Linked DNA regions of Caenorhabditis elegans. The protein of the gene in region 1 interacts with the protein of each later gene in a pairwise test. Each region holds a gene or a part of one and is shown on either strand. Other genes may lie near its edges.

Region 1 (7,165 bases):
CATTGGAAACTGCAGAGATGATAGGCGATAAACGTCGGAAAACAACTTTGTTCCAGTGGAAAAAATGAGAAATTCCAACCCCTTTATTTTAACTTGTGGTTTGTATATCTATTCCATTGACATTATTTTTCACTCCTGAGTGCTCTAAAATTATAATTAATTCTACCTCCTGTAAAATCATATCAAATAATTCAATCATTTTTTACTATCTCAATTTTCACTTGCCCCCTCCCCCATTTCTTTCATATTGATCTTCATGGTTATTTTATTGACTGTTATAAACAATTTTAACTTTAAATGTTCTGCACAAAATTCGGGATTCAGATTGCAAAGATTTATTGGAACACTGGAGACATTTCAAGATGATCTCGGATCTTCTGCACGACTCGACGGACTCAAACTTTGAACATTTTCGTGTGAGATTTTCTTTTCTTTTTCCGCACTTTTCTTCTCTTTCTTCTCCTCACCACTTCCATCTTTCTTCTGATCATCTACATCCAGGAGCAGCATCTTGTGACGTGTAATCTTTAGATCACTGAGACGAGTTTTCGAATCGCCGACTTCAAGAGGAGCCTACAATCATCCTTATCTTTTTATATTCAGAATATCAAAAAACTAACCGGGTCACCTCGACCAGAAAACTCGCCTTCGCCTTCTTCACTCGATGATTTCTGAGTTCTCAGAGTAATCATATGGGTCTTACCGCTGACACCAAGAAGCGTGTAGAGTCGAGCCATCAGATCGTCTGAACGATATAATTGTTTAAAAATCTTAGATTCTTAAGCTTACGATAAGTGGCATCCGTTGGAAGGCTGACAACGACTGGCTTTGAAAGGTACAAAAAGTACCAAAGACGTTGATCCGGAACCTTCTTATGTCGACGAGTCCTTCCACTTTTTGATTTGTTCACAGATCCTTTCCGAGTAGCACGAGTACTTCCTCGAATCTTTCCACGTTCAGCTCCATTATTCGACAATTCTCCAGTATGCTCAGCAATTTGTTGCGGTGAGACTTCACGCGTAAAAGCATTTGACGGAGATGTCGAAGTGGCACAAGACGAGTGGTTTTCTGAAAGATTGAACTCTTTTTATCAGATTTCTGATCAATTTCTGTTACCTTTTGGCTGAAGTGGACTACACACCAGACAGTAGAAGTGCCCACAATCAAAACGATCCAAATTGTTTAACCCAATGATTAACTGGAATAATTGGTTTGATCTTTCAAAAACCTGCATTTTGTAAAACAATCTTACTTTCTTGCATGCATCACATTGTAATGAAAAATCCATTTCATCTCCGACCTGAAAAATATTAATTTTCAATATATCCAGATTTTAAAGTGAAAGCCGCCCAGAATTCATGCACAAATAAATATACCTCGCCACAGCAGGTTACTGTAGCTCGTGTAGATCTATGGACCGCTAAATATCTTTTTCCAATGAAGCGCCAAGATTTTTTTCAAATAAAAATATTATGCAATAGCGACCCAGAATTGACAAGTTACAGTATTTCGTTGTTCGCGCGGCGAGACACTGCCGCGTAAGTTGACGGAAATTCTCATTTTTATGTAGACGTCTACGTAATATAGCCACAGCTCCAGTAGGCTTAACTTATCGTAATCTTAACGTAAACACGAAGACCATTCAAGAATATCGCTAAATTAGAAAAGTTACCAGGACAATTTATTTCGCTGTAAAACCTACTCTGTGCGTTTAAGTTCGCGTTCCAGAAAACTGTCAATATTCGAAACCTTTAATTCAAACGAAACTCACATCATCTTCAGTTTTTTCATTTGCTGAAGAAGTTGATGAGAGGACTTGCTTGGATGAGGAATTCATTCCAGTACTGAACAAATTTCAATTATCAGTGTTGAATCAAAACGACTTACTGGATTTTAGAGAGACTCGCTTTTTTCTTTTGCGACATCACTAAAATCGATTCTTAATCGGATAAAATACAAAATGATTGAAAATTGGAACTTTTTTCTTTTTTCCTGTTCCTGTAGTTTTTGTTGTTGTTATCTACGCTTTCGATCTTAACAATAAGCATCCACGTTCTATTAAATATATCATTTATTTATTATAAATAATATTCTGACTTGAATCATGTTTTTGTTATTTTTCAATTCAATGATGCCATGGATAAAACAAGAAGGGACAATTATTGGAAACGAGGAATGAAGTAGATTTTAAAAACGGGGTCAATTTGGAGAGTCTGAGGAAAAGAGAAAAAAAAATGATATAGTGACGATCAATACATTTAATTAATATTATATCTTGTGATAAGGGAAAAGAGGTCTGATGAGAAATTAGTGTATTCATCCTTATCCCGAGATTGTAGAGTGTTGAGACCATTAATAATCATCGAACCTGGAAAATTAACAAATTATAATTTTTTATACAAATTAAATTACTAACCAAGAAGCATATTGTGATGGCTGGATGCTCTTGCAATATTTCCTATGCTTTCCTTTTGAGCATTAGCCAATTCCATAGCTTCTTGAATTGAATCTCCATTAGTTTCGTGATCCCCTCCAACCATCACTTGCATTCTGACTGGCGACTGATCACGGAGCATTGATTGCACATCTATTATACCATTGGACGATGAAGTTGATGTTCCAGAAGATGCAGATGAACCTGATCCTGGAGCTGGTGACACTGCGGAAGGCGGCACTTTTCGGAAGTTTTCACCGGCTCTCCCCCCATTGTAGGCTACCAGTGAAGATCTTTTCGGGTTCTTCCCATCTTTATCCTTATCGAAATGTCTTTTTCGGCTTTCAAGAAGTCTGGCAGGCCCGAGCGACGAATTTGACCCAACAACATTTATGCTTCCCGCAATATTACGAAGAGATCGAGGCATCGGCGGTGGGACCCCATACTTGCGAATCCCAACTGAAGGTGATCCGGAAGTAGACGCTGATGTACCAGGGGCTGATGAAAGATGACGAAGAGATGCAAAACGTGTTGTAGCAATTGGAGGTGTCTTTGAAGGTACAGGGCGAAGGTTTTTGTTCAGAAGAAGAGCCTTTGGAACTGAAAATTCAAATTTTAAAAAATGGGAGGTTGTCGATTATAAAATAGGGAAATTGCTATGTATCTGGGCATTTTCCAGAAAATTATATTAAACTTCAAAGTTAGTAACTAATAATGTACAATATTTCGATTAAAAAAATTAAATTTTTATACATTTACTTACTGGTAATGCAAAATAAAATTATCAAATTTTTCTCAAGATCGAATATTTCTTATAGAATACGATTTTTTTTCAACTCACTTGCCCCTCCACGATTGAGTCCAAGTGTATTTCTGGTTGATGAAGACTCCGATGGTGGACTATTCCGACGATTTTTGACAGTAGCATCATCTGCGGTGAAAAATTGAGATAATGCTTCAAGAATACTTTCATTCTTCGTTTTACTTCCATCAATATCATCTTCCTTTTGTGCATCTTCTTCTTTTCCATCTCCATCTGTATCATCATTCTCTCCACAACTGGCTTCTCTCTCTAAAATCGGTGGTGGACCATCATCATCTTCTTCTTGTATCGGTGCAACTTCTTTATCTTCTTCAATTTCTTTTTTGATTTCCTTTTCTTTTTTCGCGAGGCTTGAACCGCGCCGGGTTTTTGAAGCCATTCTGTAAAATAATTCATTATAAATACTATGTATTTTTGAACCAAAAAAGGAGAAAATACAAAAAAAAAATTTTCTCAACAAATAGAGCTGTAATAAAACAGAAATCGCGGATTTTTCAAATTTAAATTCATTAGATTATTTTTATGGACTTGTTAAATACTAAATTCAACTTGATTTCACATTCATCAAAACGTGGTAAATTTATATTTTTGCTCAACATGGTAACGAATTGAAGCGACCCTAACCAATTAATTTTCTTTTTTCATGGCTTATTGAAGAATTAACTATAAAAATGGTAAGATTCGATATTTAAAAATAGTATTTCTCAATTTTAAGATAGCTGAAAACGATAATAAATCGGAGTGCATAGTACAAAGATATTGATCAATTGGGCTAAAGATTATATCTATTCTCGAAATGGTATGAGAAAATTCACAAATCTGGGACAAATTTAAAACGCTGAAAACCTTATGAATCCAAGCAAACTTGAAACCAAGTGAAAAAAGAAACGAACAAACCGCGGCAACGATGCGGTAAATAGTGTTTGGGTGGTAGAGACATAGACTAAAGGCGGTGGCTGTTGGTTGTGTCTCGCAACGAATAAGAGTGGTACGGTAGAAAATTGGGGTTCTGTAGGTGCGTCCATGTATCGATTAAAACTGGTTGGAAAACAGGGAGAATTATGATTTTTAAGCATTTGATGAAACTGATAGATGGGAAGAAGAGTGATTGTTTCTATCAATTGTGATAAGTTGGATTTCAATGTTGAAGCATGAAATTTCTTATTTCTGACTGGCTATATGAAAATTTTACATGATTTGACGATATCGACTAGGAAACTAGAAACTTATAACTGAAAAGCTAAAATATTCTCCTGATATTAATACTTTAAAAAAAGTTCAGATTTCACACTAATAACTCATTCAAATTTCCATATTCGAGTGATCCAACAATTTTTTTAATTGGAGCTATTGAGATCAATATCCTAGGAAGTACATAGTCATAATAATATCAAAAATTGAATAAAGAACGAAAATCCTTGTCACAAAGTTTTGATTTCTACTTTTCTCTCAGTCTCTTCGTTTTCGGATAAAAATTGAAGAAAAGAGAGCCGTAGACGAATAACAAAAACGGCTGGCACAATGCCAAAGTATCTTTGAAGATTAAAAAACTGAAGCAACTATAGAAAAAATACGACAATAAATTTGATAGGTTCATAAAGATTAAAAATAAAGTCAGAACCAAAACAGAAAAAATAACAAAAAGGTAAAAAAGAGTACAAAAATCAACAAAAATTACTAGAACAAATAATGAATAACAATCAGAGACAGATTATTCTTCCATGTCTTCATCTTCATCTTCTTCTTCTTTTACTTTTTCCTTCACATCCGTTTCTTCATCGGCTTCATCTTCTACTTCTTCTTCTTCTTTTATTTCGGCTCTGAAAAATAAAATATTAGTTTTTAATAATAATAATCTTCAATGTGAACCCACTTTTCAATCATTTTCACATATTCTCCTTTCAAGTGACATAATGAACTTTTGATTCGGATTCCGCTGTATTTCACTAGAATCTTGTCATCAATTGCAACTTGATCTTCTGAAAATTTCTCCGTTTTCAAATAGTCTAATTTTCATTTACCTGAAGTCTTGTCATTCTGCTTAATGTGAATTGTGATCATATCCATGACAACACCGACCATAAGACCTTCTTGCACATATTTCACTTTTGCTTCGTATTGATCTCCGATTTTTGGGCTGGAAATTAATTCAAAACTATTGAAATTACGAGAATCATTTTTGATAGTCTAAAAATAAATGAATTCCCTATGAAAATTCAAAATCTTACATGAAAACAATTTGATTAATTGCAACATCGGTATGGAAAGCATATTGGTCGGAAATGACACGTGGCGCAGATGCAAGATCGACACTTCCAACGGCTACGACGATTCCTTTGTATCTGAAATCAAAAATAAATATTCGTTGTGAATTATAAAATCGTTATTCAGTTTTCAGCATTCATATCATTATACAAAAAAATGTTTTTCTTGAGAATAACGAATAAAAATTAAAAATTAACACTCTTTGTATATTTTAACTCATCAACTTACTCTTTTCTATACTTTCCGACAGTATTTTGAGCAATCCAATCACATGCTTCTTCCATTGCAGCTTTTCCAGACATGTGATAAGGTAAGGAGATATGACGTGGCATCACTTTTTGAACGAGTTGACCTCCTTTTCCCTTTCCGCGCATCTTTTTGATTAGTTTGAGTCCATCTTCATAATTCATGAAAAATTGTTCTTTGAAACTTTTCTTTGATGTTTTAATGTTTGCTCCAAGAGTTCTCAATCGATATTCTTTCTTCTCCTTTTTATCCTTTGGTGCTTCACTTTCTGTTTCCTGGACTTCTGTAGTTCCATCCTCGTTCTCGATAAACTTTTTCTTTCCCATTTTTACAATTCTGTAAAGATTGGTAAACATTTGATATGAAATAATTAACGAAACAGGTAAACATTTTCGGCTCGAAAACCAGTGCATAAAAACAAATACAGTAGACACGAAAAATGCTTTTAGCTTCATATAAAGAATAGTCAAAATCTGAATGGAATATTAGGCCAGAGCTGAGGATTTTGTGAATATTCGGATTCAAACTTCATTGCCAATGTACTTTCCATTGCTAGAATCTTTGTCGCTGATTCTCCGTAATCTTTTTTCGCTTTCTCTCTTTTTGCTATGAATTCGGCGCTGGCGTTTCGGTGATCCGTTGATTGCTCTATACGCCCACGTATACTAACTAAAAATGCCCATTAAAATTTATCAAACCGTTAAATAAACCAATTTTCTTACTTTTATCAACGTTAACGTATTCCTCTTGACTTTTTGAACTTGATTGCCCTTCTTTCCGTTTTTCTGCCGCTCTTTGTTCTTTTACTGAAATAAACAAAGTTATTTAAAACAAATATTCGTCTAATTCCGATTAAACTTACACTTTTGACGATGTTCTTGTGTTTTTGCAAAAAATGCTTTCATCTCTTCACTCATTTCTTCAATATCTGATTCTTCATTCTCAATTTCACTATATATTTCACACCGAGAAAGTCTTTCGATCACTTCCGGCTCTTCAGAGTCACTAAAACATTGTTCAGTCGAAAGATTATCTCTCTGGACCATTTGCATTTGAACTGAAAATATACAACATTTTAAGAACAGAAGCTAACCAATTACCTTGACGTGATGCATCTGTATGTTGCTTTATCCATTGATTCGAAAAGTCATAGTGTCTCCAGAAATGATTGAATGCAGGATCTCTTGCCCAATCATTGTGTTTCAGAAAATTATTCATTTTAAATAATTAAAAGTATTAAATAAATAAGTTTTTTTCGAAAAGAAATTAACAATATTTATTTCCCGAGAGGATTACACAAAACGTGGCCGAAGTTTCACAAAAATTCGGCCGCGTTATTTCGGAGCGTCGTTGTGTGAGAAAAATGGCGGAGTTTTTTACGATTTAAAATTATAAGT
Region 2 (8,118 bases), on another chromosome or scaffold:
AATTCTGAACCATTTCACCCAACCTGTACCCATAATTTCAGGCAGTTGTGTGCTTTGCGCGCAACTCGGCCAGTCATCGACGTGAACGCCACGGCTTCTGCTCGCTGGCGCCAACTCGATTCCACTTCGGTGAGTTATCATTAAAATATTATCAAAAAAAAATTTCTTTTGATTACAGGCAGAGTCTGGTTCGCAGTCAGAACAAAGCGCTAGTTTGTCTGGATCAGAAGTCATGAGTAGTTCGGAGGAGGTTTGTATTATATTTCTATTTTCTGCGGAAAACAATCAGAAAAATCTAAATAGCCGTTTTTTTTAATGATTTATATTTTAAACTATGAATTTAATAACAAGTTTTATGGTCGATTGGTGAAATTTATTTTTAGTTTCGAATCTTTTTTTTTGTTCAGGTATCATGGATCACATGGTTCTGTGGCCTTCGTGGAAATGAGTTTTTCTGTGAAGTCGACGAGGAATATATTCAGGATCGGTTCAATTTGACAGGTCTCAATGAGCAAGTGCCCAAGTATCGACAGGCTCTTGACATGATTCTTGACTTAGAACCAGGTGATATTTTTGCTGACTTCATGTGCCCCCGCAATGTAACCTTTTTCTAGAAGATGACATAGAGGATAACGCAACGAACACTGATCTTGTTGAACAAGCCGCTGAAATGCTTTATGGACTCATTCACGCTAGATATATTCTTACGAATAGAGGAATCTCACAGATGGTCGAAAAGTGGCGTGATCATGACTTTGGAGTTTGCCCACGTGTCTACTGTGAAAATCAGCCAATGCTTCCAATTGGTGAGTTATAAAAAAATCGCTACTTCATTGGTTGCGGATAATTTTTTTTGAGAAAAGTGAAACTATAAAGTACTAAATTTTCCTAATTTAAAAGTGCATTTCCAATAAAATTTAAAACAAATATTTGTTTTTACACTAAAATTTCTGTAAAATTCCAATTTTTCCAGGATTGTCTGATGTTCCTGGCGAGGCTATGGTGAAATTGTACTGTCCACGTTGCAATGATGTTTTCGTTCCACGATCATCACGTCATCAACATACTGATGGAAGCTATTTTGGCACCGGATTCCCACATATGCTCTTCTTTGTTCATCCTGATCTGCGTCCACGCAGACCAGTCACTCAATTCGTTCCAAAGTATGTCAGAGGATATATATTAAGCTAAATATTTGAAAATCCGAAATTCTAATTTAAAAAATCTTTAAAATCTCGGCAATCGAGTAAATCTTTTCATTTCAGTATACCAATTAAACTTTTTGAATAAAAAATGAAGTAAAATATTTGCTTGATTCGAAAACACAACTTAATAATGTTGGAAAATTCAAAACGACTAGTGTCTGAAGGTTATTTTTTCGGCATTCGGCAACTTTCAGGCTCTATTTGAGATCTTTTTTCAAATATTTCAACAAGAATAAGTTGCAATTTCGAATCAATAAAATATTTTGACACATTTCTAAAATCATTTTTAATTCAAAAAGTTGACTTGGTAGACTGAAATTAGAAGATTTACTCTATTGCCGAAATAAGTTGGCTGTACTAAATTAGATTCGAAATAATTTTAGAAATTAGAAGATCAAACAATAATATTTTATCCACTTTAAAAATTTAGCAGAACTTAGTACAATAATAATTATGTTATGTGTAAATTTTTAAATATCAAAATTTTCAGACTCTACGGTTTCAAAATTCATCCTGTTGCTTATGGAGGACAGGAGGGAAACAGCGGCGGAAATACGGCGAATAACGTTGCCGCAGCACAAAACAACACGACTCCAGCCGGGCAACAATCTGGAGGACAATTCAATAATTATGGTCTCTGAGCCACTTTCTTCCTTATTTTTGTTTTGATTTCTTCTTTCCAGTTTCCATTCAGAATGTCCCCCCTCTCAACACAACATCCTTATTTTCTTCATTGTTTCGTTTTTTCTTCTCCCCAAAATTTTCTTTTCCGACAAAACTCAAGAATCCGGCGGTTCTTCCATGCGTGTTTCTCTTCTTTTCTAAATCTGTTCTATTCCAACATTATGCGAATTTAAGAAATGAATGAAACGGTAGATCCCATACATCTCAAAAAGAGTGTTCCTAATTTTCTGTGTAAAAAGTGCAACGTTATTTATTTGTGCCTGTCTTCGTCACGCGGAAACAGCTGGGCGGGAAAGTGCGCTCTACTGCAGTCTCTCAGTCACAGCCTTCGATTCTGCCATCGACGTCATGTGTTTCTTTTCTTTTTTATTTACTATTTGAACGGTTTTAATATCTCCAGTTGATTTGGTTAACGATTAGCACATTGATTTCTGCTTATTTTGAAATATTTCAAAATTACAATTTTTGAAAACGCTCCATATTTTACCTGAAGAAAAAACTTTTGAACAGCTTTTCACATTAATTCCAATATATTTTTAAATTATATTGCATAAACGTGAAATTTTGCGAGGAAAAGGCGATACCCCGGTCTCGATACGCCTTTTTTGTAAAATAAAAACGGACGTGTACCTTTATAGAGTACTGTAATATCAAACTATCGTTGCTGCAAAATTTTTATCGATTTTCAGTGTTTTTCGGTAAAAATGTATTTGTTAAAAAAAATAATAAAAGAAAACGACACAAAATTTTTACAAATCGTGGGAAAAAGTATGAAAAGTCGATAAAAATTCAGTAGCAATGAACGTTTAAAATAACAGTACTTCTTAAAGGCGCAGACCCATTTGTTTTCAGAAAACAATCGTCGCGCCCAGACCGGGTACCGTACTATTGGCGGAAAAAAAATTTAGAAAAGAATATACCAAGTAAATATCAGTTCTCAATTTTAATATATATTTTTCTTGTGAATCATAGTTTAAAAATTCTTCTTTGTTTTTTCTCCAACTCTTCAAAAATTAAATAAAAGCTTTTACAGCTTTGAATCATCGAAAATGAATGGAAAACAGCAAGTCACAAAGAAACCATCAACTGAAGAAGATCTGAGCTTCACGGTTTGTTTTAAAGTCAAAAAATCAATAATAAATATTTTCCAAAGAAATTCAAGGTTGTACCAGATGTTGGTCTAAAAAGTTCACAATTCGAATTTGTGCTTGGTATGCCAATCAATCAATGTATTGCAATGATTCAGCAACATCCAAGAATGCTTACAAAAGTCGAATTGAAGTACAGTAAAAAGGTATAGAAATTAACTAATTATACTTTTAAATAAAGTTAAATTAAATTCAGGATCCATTCTACCAGGATATCATCATCTATATCGGTTCTACAGGAATTCGTCTCTATTTTGATGGCCTTTCACAGCTTATCAAGCTAATTGAAGTGGATAATCTTTCAATGATTACACTTACTTATAAGTATGATACCATCAAAAAAAAAAAACTACAGAAGCTCGTTTAAAACTATTGAATTTAAAACAAATTATGGCGTTTTGAAAATTCGAAAAATTTCAGCCTTGCATAAAATCTGAAAATTGAAAATTCTCTCTGTTGAATTCGGTCGTTTCGGGTCATTGTGAAACTATCAAAGAAAAAAAATCAATTTCAATTGCCAAGATAGTCATACAATTTCTTCATAAAAATTTTCAGCGATACAATCTTCTCTGATCCAAATAACATGGCGACGTTGGATCGGGTCAACGAATTTTTTGGATCGACACATCCAGGATCATATGATGATAAGCACAATATCTATGTGCAAAGTTGGCCGGGATTATCTTTCTGTTTCCCATATGGAGGAGAAAATTCGAATTTGGAAGTCAGGGTACTGTAGTTTGATCTTTTTGGGTATTAAAGTTGGAGTACCGTCTGTGGGTTTTTTCGAATCAAAAATACGATACCGAATATAGTAAAAAATTAAAAGAGTTTTTTCTAACCTACAGCCGCTACTTCACCTTTAATTTCCAAAAAGTTTTTTATATCTCCCAAAAACCGAAATTTCAAACATTCTTCAATTTCAGCCTGGATTTGGTGGAAATCTTCGTTCGCTGAAATATGATGCCAACTCTCAACCAAAACTTACCAAGATGTCCATTTATCGTGGACCAAATCCATCTGAGCCAGAGTGAGAATTTATTATTTATTTCTATTTATTTCTCAAAATTTGAAGATCCGTGGATACTCCATTCTCGTGTTATTGTGGTCAAAATCGGACGAGAAAAGTCGAAGCAATTTGGGAAAATGGGAATATTGTTGGAATTGATATTCAATTTGATACTCAAAGTACTGGAATTTTTTGAAATTATTAAAAAAAGTGAATATTTGCAGACGGAAGAATTGTCGATGGAGAGTATGATGTATCCACGTACACACGACAAATCTATTTTGGAGACTCTGTTTCGGTTGGTTTTCTCAATCAAAAAAATTTGTTCTAAAAATTTAAATTTTAGGATGTGCAATCGATTCTTGGAGCCCCGACAAAGGTCTTCTACAAGTCCGATGACAAGATGAAGTACGTTCTCGTTCTCTTGAAAATTCAAATTCTTTTCTCACAAATTTAGATTTATTTTCAATAGATGTTGAATTTTCCACTGAAAATTTAAACAATTTTTGAAGAAAAATTTTCTTAAAAAAAGTTGAAGGGTTTCAATGTAAGCGTTTTATATCAATTAAAAATAATTCATATAGCATTTTGTTGATATTCAGCAATATCCAATGAATAAATTAAAAAATTGTGAAAAAAGTTCTTTTTTTTCAAAATGCCTGAAATTTATTTAACAACTTTCCAACTAATATTTAAAAAGGATAAATTTTGAAAAAAAAAGTTAAAAGATTTCAGAAAATTTCATTAAAAAAATATTTAAAAATTCAGGAACGCCTAAAATTTCTCGAAAACTGAAGTTTTTAAAATTTAACCATTAACAGTTTCTAGCTTTATCAAAATTTCCGCTTCATCTGAATATTGAAAATTTCCAGAATTCATCGTGGACTTCACAAGGAGACACTCTATGGACCACCAAATTTCTTCTTCAACTACTTTGTAATGGGATTGGTAAGGTTTTTAGGGATTTAGATTACTGTAGCAATTCTTGCTATTGGGTACTATATTTTGTCTGTCAATGAGTCGAAGTTAATGTTCCAATCCCTTGTAATTGAACATATCCGGGAAAGGGATCGCTAATGCACACGCAATGGCTATTGTAGACAAATCTTTCTTCCGCATATGATAATAATCTGGGTAATCGTAGTGGTGGCTCCCTCTTGCATGTCCATGGCGTCCGGAAAGATTTACGACTCTGTAGAGAGAGAGAGAGAGAGAGAGAGACTCTTCGTTTGTGACACTTGTACGAATTTTCATCTGCTACATTTAACAAGAAGACGACTGAATTACTACTACACACTAATGACCTTCGTTTTTTGACACCGCACAGTTTATTTCATCAAGCAGTAAAGAAACTGAATGAGAGGACAAAGAAGGTGTCAATTCATTTTTTGTCGGAAGATGGATCAGAATTTCAAAGAAAACACAGCTATGGTCAATGATGAAAGCTTTTGTATGATTGAAAATTTCCTGCGTCATGGTTTCCTGAAATTGTAGTCTTTTTAGCTCATAGAAAACTTTTACCGACGCTCACGATCCTTACACAGGTGATTCGCCGTTTATGGACACCAACAGTAGGCTTCTACCCACAATGGATCTATACCAAAGGTTTTGGGTTTTGAATTTGTCGTCGATATATTAAATCTTCATTAACAAATTCCCCCGGAATTTTGAATATGAGGCAGATGTGCTGCCATATAAAGAATATTTATACAAGAAAGATGTCAATTAATTTAAAACCACGCGCGAACATACGATGGCAAGTCTTGGAAATTAGCTTTTGTAGTTTCAACAAGACTACTTCTTTTTGATCCAAGAAGCTTTGGTTGACTTCCAGAAGATTGATGCTTTTGTTTATTGAATCGTAGAGAAATTCGATCACAAAATTGTATACTCAAACTGAAAGTATACAATTTTATTGACTGTTCAAAAGCATAGAATAGTGGTAATTATCGAAAGAGACGGATGTTTACATGTGTACTTGTGCGACGAACACCGATCCGTCATTTTTCATAGTTATGTCTTGTTCTTCGTGGTCATCTATCCAACTTAATTGGCATTGGCTTACTCCAATTGTTTTGGGTGTCACTTGGGAATCTAACGGATGAGACGACGTGTCATAACAGATTGTGCAATCTACATCCACGAATTCGCGCGCGTGTGCACATACATACGCACATCAATTTATTATTCGAATGGCTCATAAACTCATAAATTAACGAGTCCCTGTCGAACAACCAATTTTCAATTCATAAACGTCAAAATTTTGTGGCTACGGAGATTTTCCCGCGGAGTTTTTTTAAACGAAAAAGTCAACTCTCCTTCTCGAAACCTTCTCAATTATGCATTTGTCTTGGTGTGCATTTGACAAATGAGTTGACCCCCACAGAGAACCAGGGCGTAAAGACAACAGCCTCGCCGATTTATTACTTCTTTGCCGACGGATTTACGGCCGAGAAGAGGTGTCTTACCTCTTGAAAACTACTATTATGCTGCTGATTAAGGCTCCTGTCTATTTCATTGAACTTGGTATATCTACGAGCAGTTTATTTTATTTACAGACAAAGGGTTAAACAATTGAACACCGTATCGAAAAAGGGGGCAAAAATACATGAAAATGGGGCTGGGAGATCGAACGACTAGATGGATGCAAATAATCACACGGATTTAGATTTTTGAAACATTTGAAACTCTCAAAAGGATATTTAAATGCCAAAATAGGATGATCCAGGTTTTGGAGGTGCTGGTGGAATCAATGGAGGAGTGGCTTTAAATGTTTCAGTACTAACCAAGAATGGATCAAATGGTGGTGATAATGGACCATGTGTATCATTTGTACTCGAAGAGCAACTATGTGTGTTTGCCATCGTGAGTGGAGTTCGAGAGTGTTCTCGTGTCACATATGATCCTTTGTACTGTCGCTCACGAAGGAAATAGATGCATCCAAGAATCATAAGAAGTAGTGCGGCAAAAAGGAGAACTCCTGCGAGAAGTATGAGCATTTCACTTGTTTGCGTTAATCCATACCGTGCACCAAACAAAACGGCACAGTCGTTTACCTGAAGTTTTTAAATAGTGAAATTAATAACGTGAATGTGAATCTTACGTCGGTAATTGCCAGAACTGAATGACCTTCCACAAGCGATGGTGTCGCGCATCGGACATTATCGTAGTTGAGAATGTGTCTCATCGCATAACGATCTCGCATATGAACCTGAAAAGATGTTCGAATTAATTCAGAAATAAGAGAGGAAAAGACTCACTTGAAGTCCTTGAATAGCACATGAACAATCCCAAGGATTTCCATCTACGTACACTTGTTCAACATTATTTAGGAATGCCAAATCTGTATGCGAGAAGGTGTGGAATCGGTTGGCTGTGATGTCGAAAGTCTAAAGAAATCTCAGTGAGCAGGTTTCAAATGACATGCGTGTCCCCATATAAGGGGGTCCACAAACGCTTCGAATTTCGTATAGAAAATGGACATACTTTCACATTTGGAAGCAAAGTGTTGATATTGTCAGGCAAATAAGTCAATTCATTTCCGGAAATGTTCAATGAAATCAGGTGGTAATAGCGAGACGGCAGCTGTACCGGGATGAATTTGATGTGGTTGTAGGCCAGTTCGAGATGAATCAACGACTTCAATGTATAGGTCCATGACTCCTCGAAATCTAAAATTACAAATTAATTATGCCATCTCTAGTAACTTTGAAAAACCGTTCTTCAAATTTAAAAATCGGAAAAACTTTTAAATTAAAAACAATCTAAAAAGTTTTAAAAATCTAGTTTTGGGGTTATTTTAACTTTTGCTACAAAAACTCACTTTTCAAGAAATTTCCTGACAATGCAATCGAAGTCAGCTCTTCTTGTGCCCATCCCAACCATTTTGAGTCAAAATCATTCATATGATTGAATGACAAATCCAGATGACGTAATGGCATCGTTCGGAACGCATCCTCGTTAAACGGAGAGTCTTTCGAAATTCCGAGCAAATTGTGGGAAAGATCCAATTTTGAGATATTCGTATTGCAAAATGCACAGGCTGTGATTTCTTGAATGGAATTGTGAGACA
Region 3 (8,118 bases), on another chromosome or scaffold:
ATTCTCTTTACTTTTGAACTAATCTATTATTGTATTTACGGTATTCTGTTTTACGAACCTCTATAATTTTCGTAATGGTAACTTGCATTTTCTCTAAAATTTCAAGTTTGAACTATTGTTTATTACTGTTTCTCAAATTTTATAGAACAAATTTTAATGTGAAAAGTTCCGACGTACTTTTAGAGTTAATGAAGCTTTCGTTGTTTCGTATGAATCTCTTGTATTAAACAGAATAATTTATCAGTACTCATTAACAAGACATCTCCAATTGACTGCATAATACCATCATTATAATTTTATCTCTATACCTCTTCTCTCTCCCTCTCATTTTCCGTTTATTTATATACTATATCAACTACTTATACGGGCACAAGGTGAGGTAGAGAGACACCCTCCTATCACCCACAATGTGTTCTCCATCTCATCAAATGTATGCATACAATCATCTCTCGTTCCGTTTTGGCGGAACGTATACCTATACCTCTTTTTATTTCTCTTTATTGATATTAAAAGGGCATCGGAGGTATAAAAAAGGAGTGTCATCAGCGACGATGATCATCGATTATCATGTTTTAAGACTCTTTCTAAAGGTTCTTTTGTTCGAAAAGTTTGGCTTTTTTTTTAGCCCTTTTCCTCCAACTTTACAACAATTTTTGTATGCTAGTATAATAAATTCGTGCAACCTTACCAGTAGTTTGCAAAAATGTAATATACACTCATCCCTTTTCCCAGTTATTCTCGATTTGGTGACAGTAACCGTGAAATGTGAAATTGAAGTTCACATCAAATGTATTTTAACGGTCATCGCGCACCAACTTCCATTCCTTCATTTTTTCACATTCTAATCTTTGTTCGGTTGAACGAAACACGAGGTGAAAACTATGATGGGAACCACAAAAAAAGAAAGACGGGAAAGTTTTCTAGGTCATTTGGAAGTGTTGGTGTTTTCTCCAAATTTTATTACTGTTTCAAGGTGTCCATAAATGGCGAGGGTAATTCTTTTGAGTAATTAAAAGTGTTCAAATGTAAGTTTTAACATAACCTTTGAAAACTATTCACTTTCAGAATAGAGTTTAGTAAACTGAAATCGTATTTTGAATTTTCAGGCCATTGTCGATATTTTCCGTTCATACCCTCTAACAGTCTTGCATCGCAATATACCAACCACTTTTTCCAACACTTTAGAACGTTTTTTAATTCAACTTTCATAGACCTTGTTTTCAAAAATAATCTCGGCATTTCAACTCTTTGCCAAACGTTTGCTAGTATTGATTATTCAATACTCAAAAAAATTCTCAAGTAGTTTATGGCCACCTTGAAACTATAATAAAAATATGAGAAACAACCAAAATTTCCAAACGGTGGATGCAACACAATTTGAAACGTTAATATATTATTTACAAAAATATTAGCATTCAAGGGGATTTGCCAAACTTGGTTTTTTTTTAAACTTCAGTGCGGCCTCAACCGATTTTCGCTCAAATCTTACCCAAGTTCGGCCCAAGCTTTGGCAACTTCTGGGCCAATGGTATCTTTTTCGGGCAAACGTTTGACATTCTGATATCATGATATGCATTCTGTTAATGAACCTTCTCCTCCTCATCCCCTTCTCATGCACCATCATCACCATCACCGGCTGTCTTCCGTGATGTGAGGTGTCTGTCTCTCGTCTCACTCACACATGCGCATCATAGGGCACCGACGCAAAAAAGTGTCAAAAACGATTTATTGTCTTTTCTCGTTCGGTCCTCACCATTGCGCCCCTGTCCTCAATGCGTCGCTTTTTTGTGCGGTCTTCTTCTTGGAATTATTACCGTTTTAATAGGCGTTGAAATTCTGTTGGAGCAGGCTTGAGAGCGGAAATTAGAGTTCATAATTAGTATCTTAGTATCTTATAAGAGTTCATAATTAAATAGTAATCTAATCATTACATCTAAGACTTGAAAAAGAGCCCTCAACTTTTGATCTACCGCAACTCTATTCACCTCTATTAGATTAAAACCAACTCCAATACCCTCCAGGGACTTCCAATCTCTAACCGATAACATCTTTAGTACCGATGTATCATAACACCTGTCACCCATAGACACACACACATATATAGACCCTTCCTGGCCGAGATGAGGGGTACATAAACACATGCGGTAAGACTGTTAACCCCGCCCTCAAAATACTGCTTCTCGGTCTGCGTCTCACCCTTCTAGTTGATGTGGGAGGATCCTTGTAGCTTTTGGGTTCTGATGGGAGATATTCCATGCGGTTCCGGTCAACGCCCTCCACATTAGTTTCACTTTTGTTTTAAGTTTTCAATTTTCACAATTTCATTCTTACCGCAAAATGAGTCATTTTTTGTACGCTATACACATTCTGGTGTTCTGGTAGTACAGGGTGTTGTTGCGTTCAATATTGAAATCGTGAAGTGATGGCAATTTCAGAACTGCTACAAGAGCTTGAGCAGAAATCATTTTCATCTTTACAGAAATTTTCAAACTAGGCATTCTACGCCTTCCTATATTTTTTCCAACACACATTTATATTTTCTTACAATAATTTTTCTCCGCTCTCACAAAAGCTCGAGTTACTTGAATATTCGAAATAGTTTTTTCATGGCTCGTTTTTCTCATTTTATTTTTCTCAAAAGATTGTGCCAGCAATTTTTTCCTTAACAACAAATAACAGTTGTAATTACTCAAAAACATTACCCTCGCAATTTATGGCCACCTTGAAACAGTAATAAAATTTTGTGAAAACACTAATACTTCCAAAGGACCTAGAAAATAGTTTATAAAAATATCCTCAAGTACCGAGAGTTTGTGAAAACATGACGTGAGACTTTAAAGGTGTCTTCTACTCCTCTTGATGGATCTTGCCACAATCTCTATAATAGAATAATGCTTCAAATATAAATTATGAAGCGTATGTAATTTTCACATTCTAAAATGCACAGGAACTATCATGGTAAATTTTGTTACTTTTATTACTTTTTTGCGAACACACTACCGCAAAGTCGGAATCAACAGTAAAACTTTAGATTCGTTGAGATCTTAAAGTTCTTCCTTTGAGATGTTCCTATTAATCCATTAGTTACCGTCACTTTTCCGTTATTACCAGTATAATGACAGAGACAAAACGGGGCGGCGTGCGCGACGGCAAACAGTCATTCCTCTATTACAAGGCCATATCAAATTAGCATAAACACACGTCTCCCGATTCTTTACTATTTTTCATTCTTCAACGGGACGTCGTCTTCTAGTTGAAGATTTCGGAATCTTTTTCTCTAATTGAATCAACATTACGAAGAAGACGATGTCCTTTTCTGCAGTGAAATGAGAAATGAAACGGTCAGATGTCGTCGTGGGGATTTACGGGGCAATGGAGAGACCGGTCTAGTTTTGTGGATGATGGTGATGGTGTTGCCAAAGTGATTGACATTTTTATATGGCAGCAAAAAGGTTATAGAGAGGGACTGGTCTTCTTTTCACACTTAACACTTAACACACCCTTTTTTGGAGGCTTTTTTGAAGTGATTTTGCATACACTATTTTTCTTTTTTTCCAAGTCAACCTCAACTTTATCGTATAATTTGCCATTCTCTTATGAAAATGTGTTATTTTCAATTCATAGTCCCTATTTCAGATGAGCGAACGAATTCGCCGTCGTCGTCTCGAAGCATCGGAGCAATTCGCACCGCAGCTCATCTCATCACGTCGAGCTCAAGGTGGTCTATCGCCTGCTTCGAGAATCCGAATTGCAGCTGATGCTCACAGGCATTCAACATCTGATGATGACAGTGGATGTGCTTTGGACGAGTATGCATGGGTGCCTAGTGGTCTGAAGCCGAATATGGTAAGTATAGAGATTTTGAATGATCTCGTGTGCAATAAAGAACAATTGAATTAGGTTTTTGAACACCAAAACCTAGACCAATTAAAATGTTCACAACCTGTGGACCGTTCAAAACAGATGGTTTTTTGTGCACTTCAAATACTGATTCAAATTCAAATTCAAATTCAAATTCTTACAGGTTCATGCCTACTTCGCCTGTCTCCCGGAAAACAAGGTACCATTCATTGGATCAGCTGGAGAAAAATGGCGACAACGTCAATCACGTTATCAACTACCACCACAGGATTCTGATGTTAGATATTGTGAAGATTTAAATGCAGAAGAAGCGGATACATTGCGAATGTTTGAAAGAACTCGAAAAACTGAATGCCTGGGAAGTGGTGTTGTTCAATATGCTCCATTTGATACAAAATGTGAAAAGGTTAGTATTTTCCATCAAAATTTGTTTGGTTTTATTGAAAAATCGTCACCCGGCCTTATTATGACATTCGACCCATTTGAGCACAACCGTAAATCTTGCCAAACTGTGGCGTATGAAACCATAAACAACATTTTCTTTTTCGTCTTTCCGCACCATCCCCAAAACTCATAAATCTTTATGCGCGAGCGCTCTCTTTCCGCGCACCATCATCTATGCTTATGCTGGGATGCTCCTCATCATCATCTTCACGGCTTCTTTTTTGTCGGGCGGCTTTTTGCCTTTGCATTCCCAACGTGTAGGCACTGTCTTACACTTGAGAATAAACAATGACGGAAATTTGAGAAAGGTCATGCTCATTAACAACGGCGAGGGCCGTCTGCTCTCGGATAGTCCCACTTACGAGAGTGCGGCAAAAAAGTTCTGAAGAATGAGAAGAAGAGGTTGTTGACCTCGATGGGGGAAGCCAGCTGCTTAGGTGTTAGATTTTTGTACGGCATGAGAATAGTTGCAGCAACTTGAAAGGGACAAATGGAATCATGAAAATTCGTCGAAAAATAAACCTTTTTTTTTTAATTTTCTGATATCGTTTTTGAAGGTATCGTCAGTACCGTAAAAAAAGCTTCTATGTATAGTGTTAAAATGTTCAAATAAATTTTTGATTTTATTTTACATACAGTCAAAAAGTGGGAAAAACTCATTTTTCATTACTATAATTTTGGAAGGCGTTCAAAAATACTTTCTACGAGTTTCCAATTTCGTTTTAATCGTTTGTATTTAAACATTTTAGTTGTACGAACCTGCTATTTAAACATTCTAGTAGTACGAAACTATGCTCAAAATTTATTTTTTTAAATTTTAACATTTTTTGAAACAATACACCCATACTTTAACTGAAACTTTGAAAAAACTGAACATTTTTGAAGTATTTAAATTATGATATGTGGTTTTTTGTGTTATAATAAGTGGATTTCGAATAAATCTCCACTGACGATAATTTCATTCAATGGCAACCGACTGTCTGCAATTATTATTGCAACATCTAAATATTGGAGAGAAATAGAGAAACAGAGATAGAGTCATAGACAATATGCAATTATTGTCAATGTTCATCCATCTTTCTTTTACTACGAAGCTCCGGCTGTTTGTCAGAGGAGAAGCTGAGCAGCAGCAGTCACTGCTAATTACCTATGCATCGTTACATGTTTATTAATAGGAGAGACAACGGGGCTCATTGTTGGGGTTAGCTTGGATTTTCGTTTTAGGAATTTAGAATTTTTGCTTTTGAATTTCCAAGGGTTGCTAGGGGTCTAGCTTAAGTTAGTAAATGTAAATGTTATGTACAGTAATATACTCAATTTCCGCTCCTTCTGCTCGTTCTCTTTAGTTTGTTCATTGAGTTATAATCTGATTAGAGCCGTCTCAGTGTTAATCTAATCCGGTCATGGGTAGATGGTAGGTAGATCAAACAAAGCTTCTTCCGATATGCGCGCGCGGGGCGTTTTGATCTAAACACTACTCATAACAAGATTAACAAGGAAAATGAGAAGGAAAGCAAGAAGTCAATTATAGGGTGAAAGAAACAGTATATTTTTGGAAGGGAAGTGCCGAACAGATGGTCTTCCTGGGTGCCATGTTACCATGTCATCAATCACTTTTCTTAGAGGATCCCTCTCATAGTCAGGGGTTTTCGCGCATTTGATACCCTTCGCCCAGTTGGTTGCCCCTCCAAGTATCTGGTTTGAAGACCTGAATTAGGAGACATGGGAACATCTGCCTTTTGTAGACAATTCAGGCAGTGTCATGTTGTTTTCTGAATTGGATGTGTCAGTTCCAATTGTTACCCGTGTGCGTGTCAAGGGTACTTGTTAGTTGTTGATAGTTTACAAGTAATTATCGCCGAATATTGAGGATTAGCTGAGTACAAGAACTTGGAAAACAAAAGTATTGAAGTTGTGAAATAGGTAGGTACGTCTTCACTACCTTTCTACGTGCCTCCCAGGCGTAGGCAGAAGACAGGCAGTTTTTCCCTAGGATTACCCTGTCACGTTTTTCTGTTTAGAGGTGTCTGTTGCCTAATCCATTTCAAAATTTTAGGTGTCTGGTTGTCAGATTAGACGCGAGGTCTTATCAACTTATGGTTGTACATGTCTGTTGTTAATGCGGAGGTTACTTAACTTATAACAGAAGAGAAAATTCACAATGTGCACACTTTAAACAACTGAGAATTTAAATATTTGATTCTTAAAAATAAATTTAAATTACAACTACCAACAAAGATTCTAAGACGGTCAAGAGGGTAGCAGTAGGGGCATACCATCTTGTATTTACATAACTATAGAAACACATGGAGAAACTGAACCACCGGCTGGAGGATGCACTTGACCGTATAATGTTGCTACTTATCTTGTAATCTAGTCCATATAAATACTTTTTTGCTTTCATTAAAAACACCTGCTCGAGACGGCGGGGAGTATATTTTGTGGAGACTGTCCTAACAATAAAATGAAGAATTTGGACGATTAATTTTATTTGTTTCTGAAACAGTGAAAAATATCTTGTACTACATGTTGTTAATGCATTTCTTTTCGCCAGATTTTGCATAGCGAAAACGCAACAAAATGTGAACAAATTGTATGTGACAGATTGAGATTTGAAGATGAATTTGAATGGCACATCTCATTTGGAAGATGTTGGATTTTAGATCTTTATCATCTCTCCGGATTTCAATGAGAAAATGAAAATGAAATTGAGACACAAATTACAAATTAACTCGTTCTGGAGTAATCAGGATTATTCAATTATTCAACAAATTTTGAAAACACGACTAGAATATGTAAATTTTCAGTGTCCAAAACGTCTTGAAGAAGGAGAAATCAGTGTGATGGCTGCAAGAACTGGAAAAAGATATCATCCATCGTGTTTTCGGTGTCAAACGTGTGATGTTCTACTTGTTGATTTGATTTATTTTGCACACGACAATCAGGTTAGGAATTTTTTAAAAAGTAATTTTTACTATCAGAAATTGAATTTTTTGGAAGATATAGACAATGTGTCAATGGTCAATACATATAGTCAATTTTATATAATCAACAACAACCCAAACATTTTTAGATTTGTCAAAAATGTTCGGTAATAGTTTTGCCTAATTGTCAAATTTCTCATTTTAAAATTTGATTTAAAATTGAAAAATTTCGAGAATTACTGCAGACTCATCATCTCTACAAAAAAAATTTTGGGATGTCTTACGATGTTATTTGATCATTCTATTTTGAGACCGTGATAAAAGTTTTATAAAAGTTTATGTTTTTTTCACAAAACAGTAAAAATTTGCAGATCTACTGTGGAAGACACCATGCTGAACAGGTCAAGCCGAGATGTGCCAAGTGTGATGAGGTGAGTAGCACTATTTTTGTACTTTATATTCCCTTTCTACTATAACAATTGAACCATCCATTTTATGGCCCCCTTACACTGTTTGCTTTGAGTTTCCGATACATGTGGTGTGCAAACTTTTATGATAGGCGATTTGGTGAAACACCAAGCGCCGGCGGTTGGAGGAGAAAAAAGTGTCGCAACTTGAAATAATTGAGGACAAGAAAGCAAAAAGAATAGTAAAAATAGTTTGGAAAAGAAGAAAAGGGAGATTTGCTAAGAAACATTTTTGAAAATTTGAATTTTTGGTTTTTGAAACATAATTTGTAAAAAAGAAAACGTAATTATACCTATAGATATAATTCAATTTGGTACGTGTGTACTACAGTGCGTCCAACTTCTATAGCACCCCCCTCCAATTTGGCGGTATGGAGCCTCTCAAAATATTTTTTGAAAAAGTGTTAGTGCAGTTCGATAGC
Region 4 (8,139 bases), on another chromosome or scaffold:
AAGTTATGGTGGTTCAAAGTTCGGAAAAATAAAGCTCATTTTCAGCTAAAATCAAAATTTTTTCCAACTTCTCGGTGTTGCAACGTCTGGAACCTAATTTTTATTTATTCATCACTTTTTAATAAATATTGCGGTCTTTGATTGGGCGTTTATTCGTTGATTTAAGTACATTTATGGTCAGACGGGCACAAAATGTAACTTTTATTTGTGTCCCACTGACCAGAAATGTGCTTAAAACAACGAATAAACGCCCAATCAAAGACCACAATATTTATTAAAAAGTGATGAATATATAAAAATTAGGTTCCAGACGTTGCAACACCGAGAAGTTGGAAAAAATTTGATTTTAGCTGAAAATGGGCCTTATTTTGCAGAACTTTGAACCGCCATAACTTTTTTTTTGAGAAATTTTCAGAACGTCTCATTACGAAATTCGGTAGTTTTGGACCAATTTGGGTCTAAAAAGACAAAGTCTCAAATTTCGGTACTCCACCTTTAAAACTGGCCAAAACAAAAATTCTCGAAAAATGCTTTAATGGCAGCTTGAAATTGGAAAAAAAAGTAAAGTTTTCCTTAAAATTTTGAAATTTCGTCAACTTATTTCAATCACAGCGACTGGAAATTAATGTTCAAATTATCATCCTATTTTGCACACAATAATGTGGTCTCTGATTTTTTTTAAAAATTCAATGGCGCCGAAAATTTGTACTGGAAAAGAGTCTAAAAACTAGGAAAAAAAACATTTACTGGAATTCTTGTTGTAGTGATTGAATTAGAATTGCAAAAAAAAAGTGAGGGAATGTGTGAGAGACGCCGACAGCTCTCCCCAATGATCGAGAATTCAGTGTGTGTGTGTATGTCGGGAGACAGAAAAAAAAAACGAATTTTTCTCTCGTGGGAGGATGAGGTGTCTCTGTGTCTCTCACATAATATTCTGAGTAGGTGGAGATTTGATTTTTCCATCGTTTTTTTCTAAACTCATGAGAGGTGCCCCCGTCGTAAAGAAATTTCGGCGTCGGCTCTCAGATTACCTACTTTTCGTAAAGTTTTTATTACATAACAGGGGTGGGCAAATTTGTCGGTTTGCCGATTTGCCGGAAATTTTAAATTCCGGCAATTCACCGGTTTGCCGCTTTGCCGGAAATTTTGAATTCTGGAAATTTGCCGATTTGCCGGAAATTTTAAATTCCGGCAATTCACCGGTTTGCCGCTTTGCCGGAAATTTTGAATTCTGGAAATTTGCCGATTTGCCGGAAATTTTGAATTCTGGCAATTTGCCGATTTGCCGGAAATTTTGAATTCCGGTAAATTGCCGATTTGCAAGAAATTTTCGGGAAATTGACGGTTTGCAGATTTGCCGGAAAATTTGAATTCCGGCAATTTTCCGATTTGCCGGAAATTTTGAATTCCGGCAAATTGCCCATTTGCCGGAAATTTCAATTCCAGCAAATTGCCGATTTGCCGGAAATTTTGAATTCTGGCAATTCGCCGATTTGCCGGAAATGTTTAATTCCGGCAGTTTGCCGATTTGCCGGAAAATGTAATTCCGGCAATTAGCCCATTTGCCGGAAATTTCAATTCCAGCAAATTGCCGATTTGCCGGAAATTTTGAATTCTGGCAATTCGCCGATTTGCCGGAAAATGTAATTCCGGCAATTAGCCCATTTGCCGGAAATTTCAATTCCAGCAAATTGCCGATTTGCCGGAAATTTTGAATTCTGGCAATTCGCCGATTTGCCGGAAATGTTTAATTCCGGCAATTTGCCGATTTGCCGGAAATTTTCGGGAAATTGCCGGTTTTTTTTAACCAAAACTAATTTGAAAACTGAAAATTAAGATTAAAAATCACCAGTTTTAATTTAAAAAATTAATTTTCAACAGGAAAATAAAGATTGTTTGTTGAACAAATATTTCAAAATTAAAAAAAAACGATTTTTAAAAAAAGTTTTTCTATGGAAATATTAATTTTCAAAATAAATTAATATTGGATTTTTTGGCAAGTTTTCGATTTTCAGCGAAAAAAACCTAAATTTTTATTTTTCCTGCTAATAATCGATAAAACGGAAAAAAATTTCAATTTTTTCGGCGAATTCCAATTTTTTTCGAATTTTCTATGTATATTAATGTTCTAGTTTTTTTTTTTTTTCAATTTTTGAATTTTACCGATTTTGGAGTGTTTTCAGAATTTTTTTCGGTTTTTTTAAAAAGGAATTTTCAGAAAAAAAAAATCACACAACTTTAGGATTAATTATTTCCAGAAATAAAGTGAAACATTTTTTTTTCAATTTTCTCAATAAATCCCCTCCTCACCACTGAAATTTTCGCGGGTTTCGGTGGAACAGCCGGTTGTGGTGGATTGACTGGTGGTGGTTTGTGAGAGACAAACGTCAATGTCGCCTGACGTGAAATCGACCCATGTCTGGCACCGGATTCCGTTCCCAGTGGGACTTGAACCAATTCGACAAAATTATCCGGAAATAAGCCCTTCTTTCCGTGCAGTTCACCTTCAAACCATCCAGCGTCACCGCAGTTCTGCAAAAAATTAGTAGAAATTTGAATTTTTTTGGGAAATAATTTTTTTCCAAATTTTTAATAGCTTTTTTTGTTTAATACTTGATTTGAAGAGCCGTTTTTTGAATTTTTTTTTTTTTGCAAAAAAAGTTTGAAAATTTAAATTAATATTAAATTATAAATTTCAGGCCATGTATTTTTTTAAGTCGAAACTGTTTTTTAAAAAAATCATAAAAATTTAGAATATTTATTTTTCGCATGAGTATGACTTTAAAATTGTTATTAAGCAAAAAAAAAAGAGAAAAATTAAAATTTTGGCATTTTAATCTACAAATTTCCAACTTAAAGTCTAATTCGGAAATTTTAAAACCCAAAAATTAAAATTTTTGCCGGATTTTTCAGGGTATTCAATTTTTTTATCGATTTTTTTTAGAAATATTTTTTTCCAAATTTTTATTAATTTTTTTGTTTAATATTTGATTTGAAGAGCCGTTTTTTGAATTTTTCAGACATTTTTTTTGCAAAAATTTTTTAAAAAAATTAATATGAAATAATAAATGTTAGGTTATGTTTTCTTTGAATAAAATTTCTCAAATTGTTAAAAGCAGCGTTTCAAAAAAATTTTTTTTTAATTTGTTAAGATTTTTTAAGTCAAAACTGTTTGCGCAAAAAATTTCAAATTTTTAGCAAAAAAAAAACTTTTAAAAAACAACTTTAAAAAATTTCTTGAAATTTTCTAGTAAATTTTCGATTTTTTAAATTCTGAAAATTTTTGGGGATAAAAAATTCGGCGAAAATTTGAATTTTGATAAATTCTGTTAAACTTATAATTTTTCCAGTTGGAGTTTATTATAAATATGACGTTTTCAAGCAAATATAATGAAAAAAAAAATTAAAAATTGGGGATTTTAATCTACAAATTTCAAATTTAAAGTCTAAAATTTGGAAAAAAAATTAGACTTTAAACTTGAAATTTGTAGAATAAATTCCTCAAATTTTTAATTTTTTTGCTTGAAAATATATTAGTTTATTAGTTTACTTAACAATTTTAAAACCCAAAATTTTAATTTTCGCCGATTTTTTAAGGTTTTCCCATTTTATTTTCCAACTTTTTATCTAAAAATTGCAGAAATCCTGATTTTTTTTTCCGATTTCAGTGAATTTGCACCTTGTTTGTAATATTAATCAGCATATCAATCTCCTTAAGAGCCAGCTCATCATCGTGTTGGGGATTGTAGACAAATTTCACGCGAGCCATTTCTTTCGTTTTCGTAGTTTCTGCGTCTGTGCTCGCCGAGGCTGCAGAGCTCGCAAATGTGCTGCTGAATTTGGTTTCCAAGGCTTTGAGCACTGGAGCCGGGTCCGAGATTATCTGAAATTTTGATTTATTTGATTTAAGTGAAATTCTTCAGTTTCTGTATTTAAAAAATGTTTGAATAAAGTGCTGAGAAGCCATTTATGGAATTTTTTAATTGGAAAAAAACTATTTTCTTTTCAGTTTTTTAAAATTTAATTTTTCAGTTTTTTTTTGTTTTTGTCGAAGATAACTTTAATAAAAAATTGTAATGTAACAAATTTTAATTAAAAAATTTTTTCACTTCTAACCAGAAACTTACAATTAAAAGCTGAAAAAAAAGAGTTTTGGAACAAATTAAAAAAAAAATGTTTGGATATTTATATTTTTTGAATGAAAAATTAGCTGAAAATCAAAAAATAAATCGGCAAATAGGCAAATTGCCGGAACTTTTAAATTTCCGGCAAATCGGTAAAATGGCGGAATCGTAATTTCCGGCAAGTCGGCAAACCGGCAATTGCCAATTTTCCGGATTTCATCGACAAAAAATTGTTGATTTTCAATTATTTAAATTATTTGAATTTTTCCAAAAATTTGAATTTTTGCCATAAAAACTGATGTCTCAGGCACCGATATTTAAGTAAAATCTGTATTTTTGGGATTTTTCAGATTTTTTTCGCTACACGAACCGTCGACGGAGTTCTATCAATAGCTTTCGGCTCGCTTCTCATCACAACTTCACTTCCAATCGATTTTGCCGGAGTTCGAGCTGCTGAGCCCGCCGAAGTTGATGCACTAGCCGCTGGAGCAACTGCAGCAGCAGATGTGCTCGGCGTAGGCTTCAACGTCACAAAATTCGTCGGGAACATTCCGACGGCTCCAGTCGACTTGAGTTTTCCCTTACTCCAGCCATCTTCAACATCAGAGATCAGTTCGATGAGATCTCCGACGACAAAGCTTAGCTCATCGTCTTGTTTTGAGCTGTAGGCATACGTGGCCACGTATATTTGAGCTTGTGGTTGTGGAGGGGGAGCTGCAAAAAATATTTAAATTATTTTTTTGTAAATTTACACAAATTTTAATTTTTTTTTTCGAATTTTTTAGATATTTTTTTTCAGGATTTTCATGATTTTTTTTTAATTGTTAGAGCTATTTTAATATTGTCCCTCGACGAGTTTTTGAGCACCAGATCGTGAAAAAATCACGAAAATCGTGGCGGGACCCATTCGATCCAAGCCCCGCGCCTTTAAAAATGTTTGGATCTTTTTTTCAGTGTTATAATAATAATAATTGAAAACTGGAAGAAAAAAACATCTTTTTTAATTTGAAAAAAAATTAATAAAACTACAAGATTTTAGTGGAATTTAATTGGAAAAACTTTCAGATCGGCCGTTTTTTCCCCGAATTTTCTAGAGCTTTTTGAGAAATTTTCCTATTTTCTCGGACCAAAGCTCTAGAAAATTCGGAGCAAAAAAACGGCCAATCTGAACATTTTTCTAGTTAAATTCTACAAAAATCTTGTAATTTTATCTTTTTTTTCAAATTCGTCAAAAATAGTTTTTCTTCCAGTTTTCAAATATTATACATACTGAAAAAATATCCAAACATTTTTTAAAGGCGCCGGTTTTGGATTAAATGGGTCTCGCCACGATTTCCATGATTTTTTAAAGATTTGGTGCTCGAAATAACGTGATTAAATTTTAAAAATTAGAAACATTTAAAAAGAAAAATTTTCACAAATGAGAAAATCTCCGGTTTTTTTTTCATTTTTTCGACTGAAATTCTCAAATTTTTCGGTTTTTTTTTCAAAATTTCCAACTTTTTTCTAAAACAAACCTCTCCGTTCCACCTGTTGATGTACTGTAAATGGATTTCGATTTGTCATATCTCGGGAAAGTCGATTCACAATATCTCGCACATTTCCAGCGACTACTTCTGTCTGAAAATTGGCAATTTTTAGATAAAGATTTTAATCTGAAGTCTTTTATTTTTTCAAAAAATCACAATTTTCCGATTTTCTTTTGTTTTACATATGTTTTCTTTAAAAATTGCAGTTTTTACACATTTACTTGGAAAAAATAAAAAATTTTCACTTTTCCTAAAAAATCCCAAAATTTCCCATATTTTTATCCCAAAAATTGTAACTTTTTTTTCAAAAAATCATAATTTTTACAATCTGTTTTTTTAAAAAAAAATCAAAATTCTCACACTTTTTTTCCGAAAACTCTTATTTTTACCAATTGTTTTTGACAAAAAAATCGCATTTTTCTAAATCTTTTCAATCAAAAAATAACATTTTTACGTTTTTTGCCCAAAAATCTTAATTTTTACAATTTTTTTTTCCAAAAACGGAAATGTTTCAAATGTTTTTTATTTGCAAAAAAACAAAATTTTCACACTTTTTTAAAAATCTCAATACTAAAAAATCGAATTATTTTTTCTAAAAAGTCGGAATTTTTTAATTTTTTTAATCAAATAATGGCAATTTTCTCATTTTTTTTATCCAAAAAATTTGCAATTTTCATGACTTTTTCGACAATTTTCTCAATTTTCCAAAAAAAAAAAAAAAGAGATTACGAAATATACTAACTTCACCAACTTGTGCCATTTGTCCTCGATCCGCGAGTGTCCAACAAAAAAAACAGTTCAAGGCGGCTCTCGGATACAATTCTGGAAAAAATCACAATTTTTTTTAATTTTAAAATTAAATAAAGACTTTTGTGATTTTTTCAAGATTTCCAAGGTAACGTCAAAAAACCAAACAACGGCCAAAAAAAAAGGCGAAAATCGATAAGGAATTGTTTGTGCAGTGATGGTGGAAAATGTGGGGCAATAAAGTCAAAAACTTCTGTTATCAGTGGGGAGATGTGGAGAAAAATTTTGAAAAAAAACGTGGAGTGAATTTCAATTTTCACTTCTTCAATTGTGTGAGTTTCCCCCGAATGAGTCATCGCAGTGGTGTCTCCTATCGAGCGCCGCCGCGGGAAAGATCAATCACTTTTCGAACGTGTCCCCCTCCCCCACCCCCCTCTTCAATGCGTTGATGACCTGTGAACAGAAAAAAACGCGGCCAAAACAATAAAATCTCGTAAATTTATATTTTGATCGAGATGACATATTTAGGAATATATAATACGAAAATGCAAAATTCTGAGAATGCGAAAAAATTGTGAAAGTTTCGAAATTTTTTTTGAAAAAAAAAGGTGTAAAATTTCAATTTTTGAAAAGAAAAAAAAATTAAAATCTCGGTTTTTTAAACGAAAATTGAAAAAAAATCGAATTTTTTGAACTAAAAGTGTAATTTTAATTTTTAGATTGAAAACAATGTGAGAATTCCAAATTTTTGACACGCTTTCTCATTCATTATGACGGATATTACACGGTAACACGAAGTTGTGAGAATGCGTATTGCACAACATATTTGACGCTCAAAATATCTCGTAGCGAAAACTACAGTAATTCTTTAAATTACTACTGCAGCGCATGTGTCGATTTACGGGCTCGATTTTTGAAATGAATTCAAATAATTTAATTTAAGATTTAAAAATTAAGCAAAAAGTGAGAAAATAGGTAATACAAAGAAACTACTTTTTTCATGTCAAGAATCGAGATCCCGTAAATCGACACCAGTGCTACAGTAGTCATTTAAAGAATTACTGTAGTTTCCGCTACGAGATATTTTGAGCGTCAAATATGTTACGGAATACGCATTTTTACGAGTTTTGTGTTACAGTAATAACGGTCACAATAAATGATTTCCATTTTTGGAAAGGATAAGAAAATCTCGTTTTATTGGTGGAAAAATTGAATAAAAATCGATTTTCGAGACTTTTTTGTCTAAAAATCAAAATAACACTTTTTTAATCGAATTTTTCAATTTTTTCCTTCAAAAAATCAATTTTTCGCGCTTGTTTTTGATAAAAAGGACTCAAAATTTATTTTTTCGAAATATTTTTGAAATAAAACCAAAAAAAAATTTTTGGACCAAAAAATCGAACTGATTTTCGATTATTTTTTTTGAAAACCGTAAAGCTTTTGAAATTTTTGGGAAAATGCAGAAAACTGACAAAATCTCAATTTTTTAAAGTTTTTTTTTCGATTTTAACATCGCGCGAATTTTTTTGTCGACAAATTCGACAAATCGGCAAATTGCCTATTTACTGGATATTTGAATTCCGGCAATTTTCCGGTTTGCTGATTTGCCGGAAATGTTTAGAGGGATTTTTTATAAGACGGAAACACTTAAAACTGTGCCTTTTTGAAATTTTTTCCCGTTTTCTTTGAATATTTTCATAGAATTTGCTTGCTTTTCAAAACTGATGTAGGAACCAGGG

Evidence for each region.
Region 2: the proteins of F10E9.3 (region 1) and phaf-1 interact in a two-hybrid assay, tested with the Caenorhabditis elegans proteins (one large-scale study listed by BioGRID).
Region 3: the proteins of F10E9.3 (region 1) and prkl-1 interact in a two-hybrid assay, tested with the Caenorhabditis elegans proteins (one large-scale study listed by BioGRID).
Region 4: the proteins of F10E9.3 (region 1) and cdap-2 interact in a two-hybrid assay, tested with the Caenorhabditis elegans proteins (one large-scale study listed by BioGRID).

What each region holds. Positions count from the first base shown.
Region 1 is NC_003281.10:8,307,479-8,314,643, reverse strand, and holds F10E9.3 (uncharacterized protein), read right to left. Parts: upstream 3,638-7,165; 5' UTR 3,637-3,637; coding exon 3,276-3,636; intron 3,035-3,275; coding exon 2,417-3,034; intron 2,369-2,416; coding exon 2,259-2,368; 3' UTR 2,057-2,258; downstream 1-2,056. Other genes in the region: sas-4 (Spindle assembly abnormal protein 4), read left to right, coding at 1-68; F10E9.2 (uncharacterized protein), read right to left, coding at 358-573, 621-745, 790-1,068, 1,117-1,198, 1,253-1,300, 1,772-1,844, 1,888-1,925; F10E9.4 (uncharacterized protein), read right to left, coding at 4,969-5,077, 5,131-5,236, 5,279-5,394, 5,486-5,599, 5,751-6,094; F10E9.5 (uncharacterized protein), read right to left, coding at 6,235-6,437, 6,491-6,574, 6,631-6,825, 6,869-6,986.
Region 2 is NC_003279.8:8,282,929-8,291,046, reverse strand, and holds the start of phaf-1 (PHAF1 protein T01G9.2), read left to right. Parts: upstream 1-2,922; 5' UTR 2,923-2,938; coding exon 2,939-2,998; intron 2,999-3,042; coding exon 3,043-3,183; intron 3,184-3,233; coding exon 3,234-3,361; intron 3,362-3,592; coding exon 3,593-3,767; intron 3,768-3,963; coding exon 3,964-4,067; intron 4,068-4,112; coding exon 4,113-4,225; intron 4,226-4,270; coding exon 4,271-4,344; intron 4,345-4,392; coding exon 4,393-4,454; intron 4,455-4,918; coding exon 4,919-4,994; intron 4,995-6,569; exon of another isoform or gene 6,570-6,748; coding exon of another isoform or gene 6,749-7,102; intron 7,103-7,149; coding exon of another isoform or gene 7,150-7,257; intron 7,258-7,306; coding exon of another isoform or gene 7,307-7,435; intron 7,436-7,532; coding exon of another isoform or gene 7,533-7,717; intron 7,718-7,869; coding exon of another isoform or gene 7,870-8,118. Other genes in the region: kin-10 (Casein kinase II subunit beta), read left to right, coding at 233-250, 408-564, 615-806, 974-1,163, 1,696-1,846; dma-1 (LRRCT domain-containing protein), read right to left, coding at 6,749-7,102, 7,150-7,257, 7,307-7,435, 7,533-7,717, 7,870-8,118. UniProt on the Caenorhabditis elegans protein: May play a regulatory role in autophagic activity.
Region 3 is NC_003282.8:6,982,454-6,990,571, reverse strand, and holds the start of prkl-1 (LIM zinc-binding domain-containing protein), read left to right. Parts: upstream 1-3,636; coding exon 3,637-3,846; intron 3,847-4,024; coding exon 4,025-4,267; intron 4,268-4,362; exon of another isoform or gene 4,363-4,796; intron 4,797-5,237; exon of another isoform or gene 5,238-5,389; intron 5,390-5,662; exon of another isoform or gene 5,663-5,816; intron 5,817-6,024; exon of another isoform or gene 6,025-6,375; intron 6,376-6,500; exon of another isoform or gene 6,501-6,848; intron 6,849-7,001; coding exon of another isoform or gene 7,002-7,112; coding exon 7,113-7,250; intron 7,251-7,520; exon of another isoform or gene 7,521-7,541; intron 7,542-7,600; coding exon 7,601-7,660; intron 7,661-8,118.
Region 4 is NC_003279.8:3,324,199-3,332,337, forward strand, and holds the start of cdap-2 (SH3 domain-containing protein), read right to left. Parts: upstream 6,476-8,139; 5' UTR 6,414-6,475; coding exon 6,396-6,413; intron 5,745-6,395; coding exon 5,642-5,744; intron 4,839-5,641; coding exon 4,495-4,838; intron 3,884-4,494; coding exon 3,680-3,883; intron 2,533-3,679; coding exon 2,311-2,532; intron 1-2,310.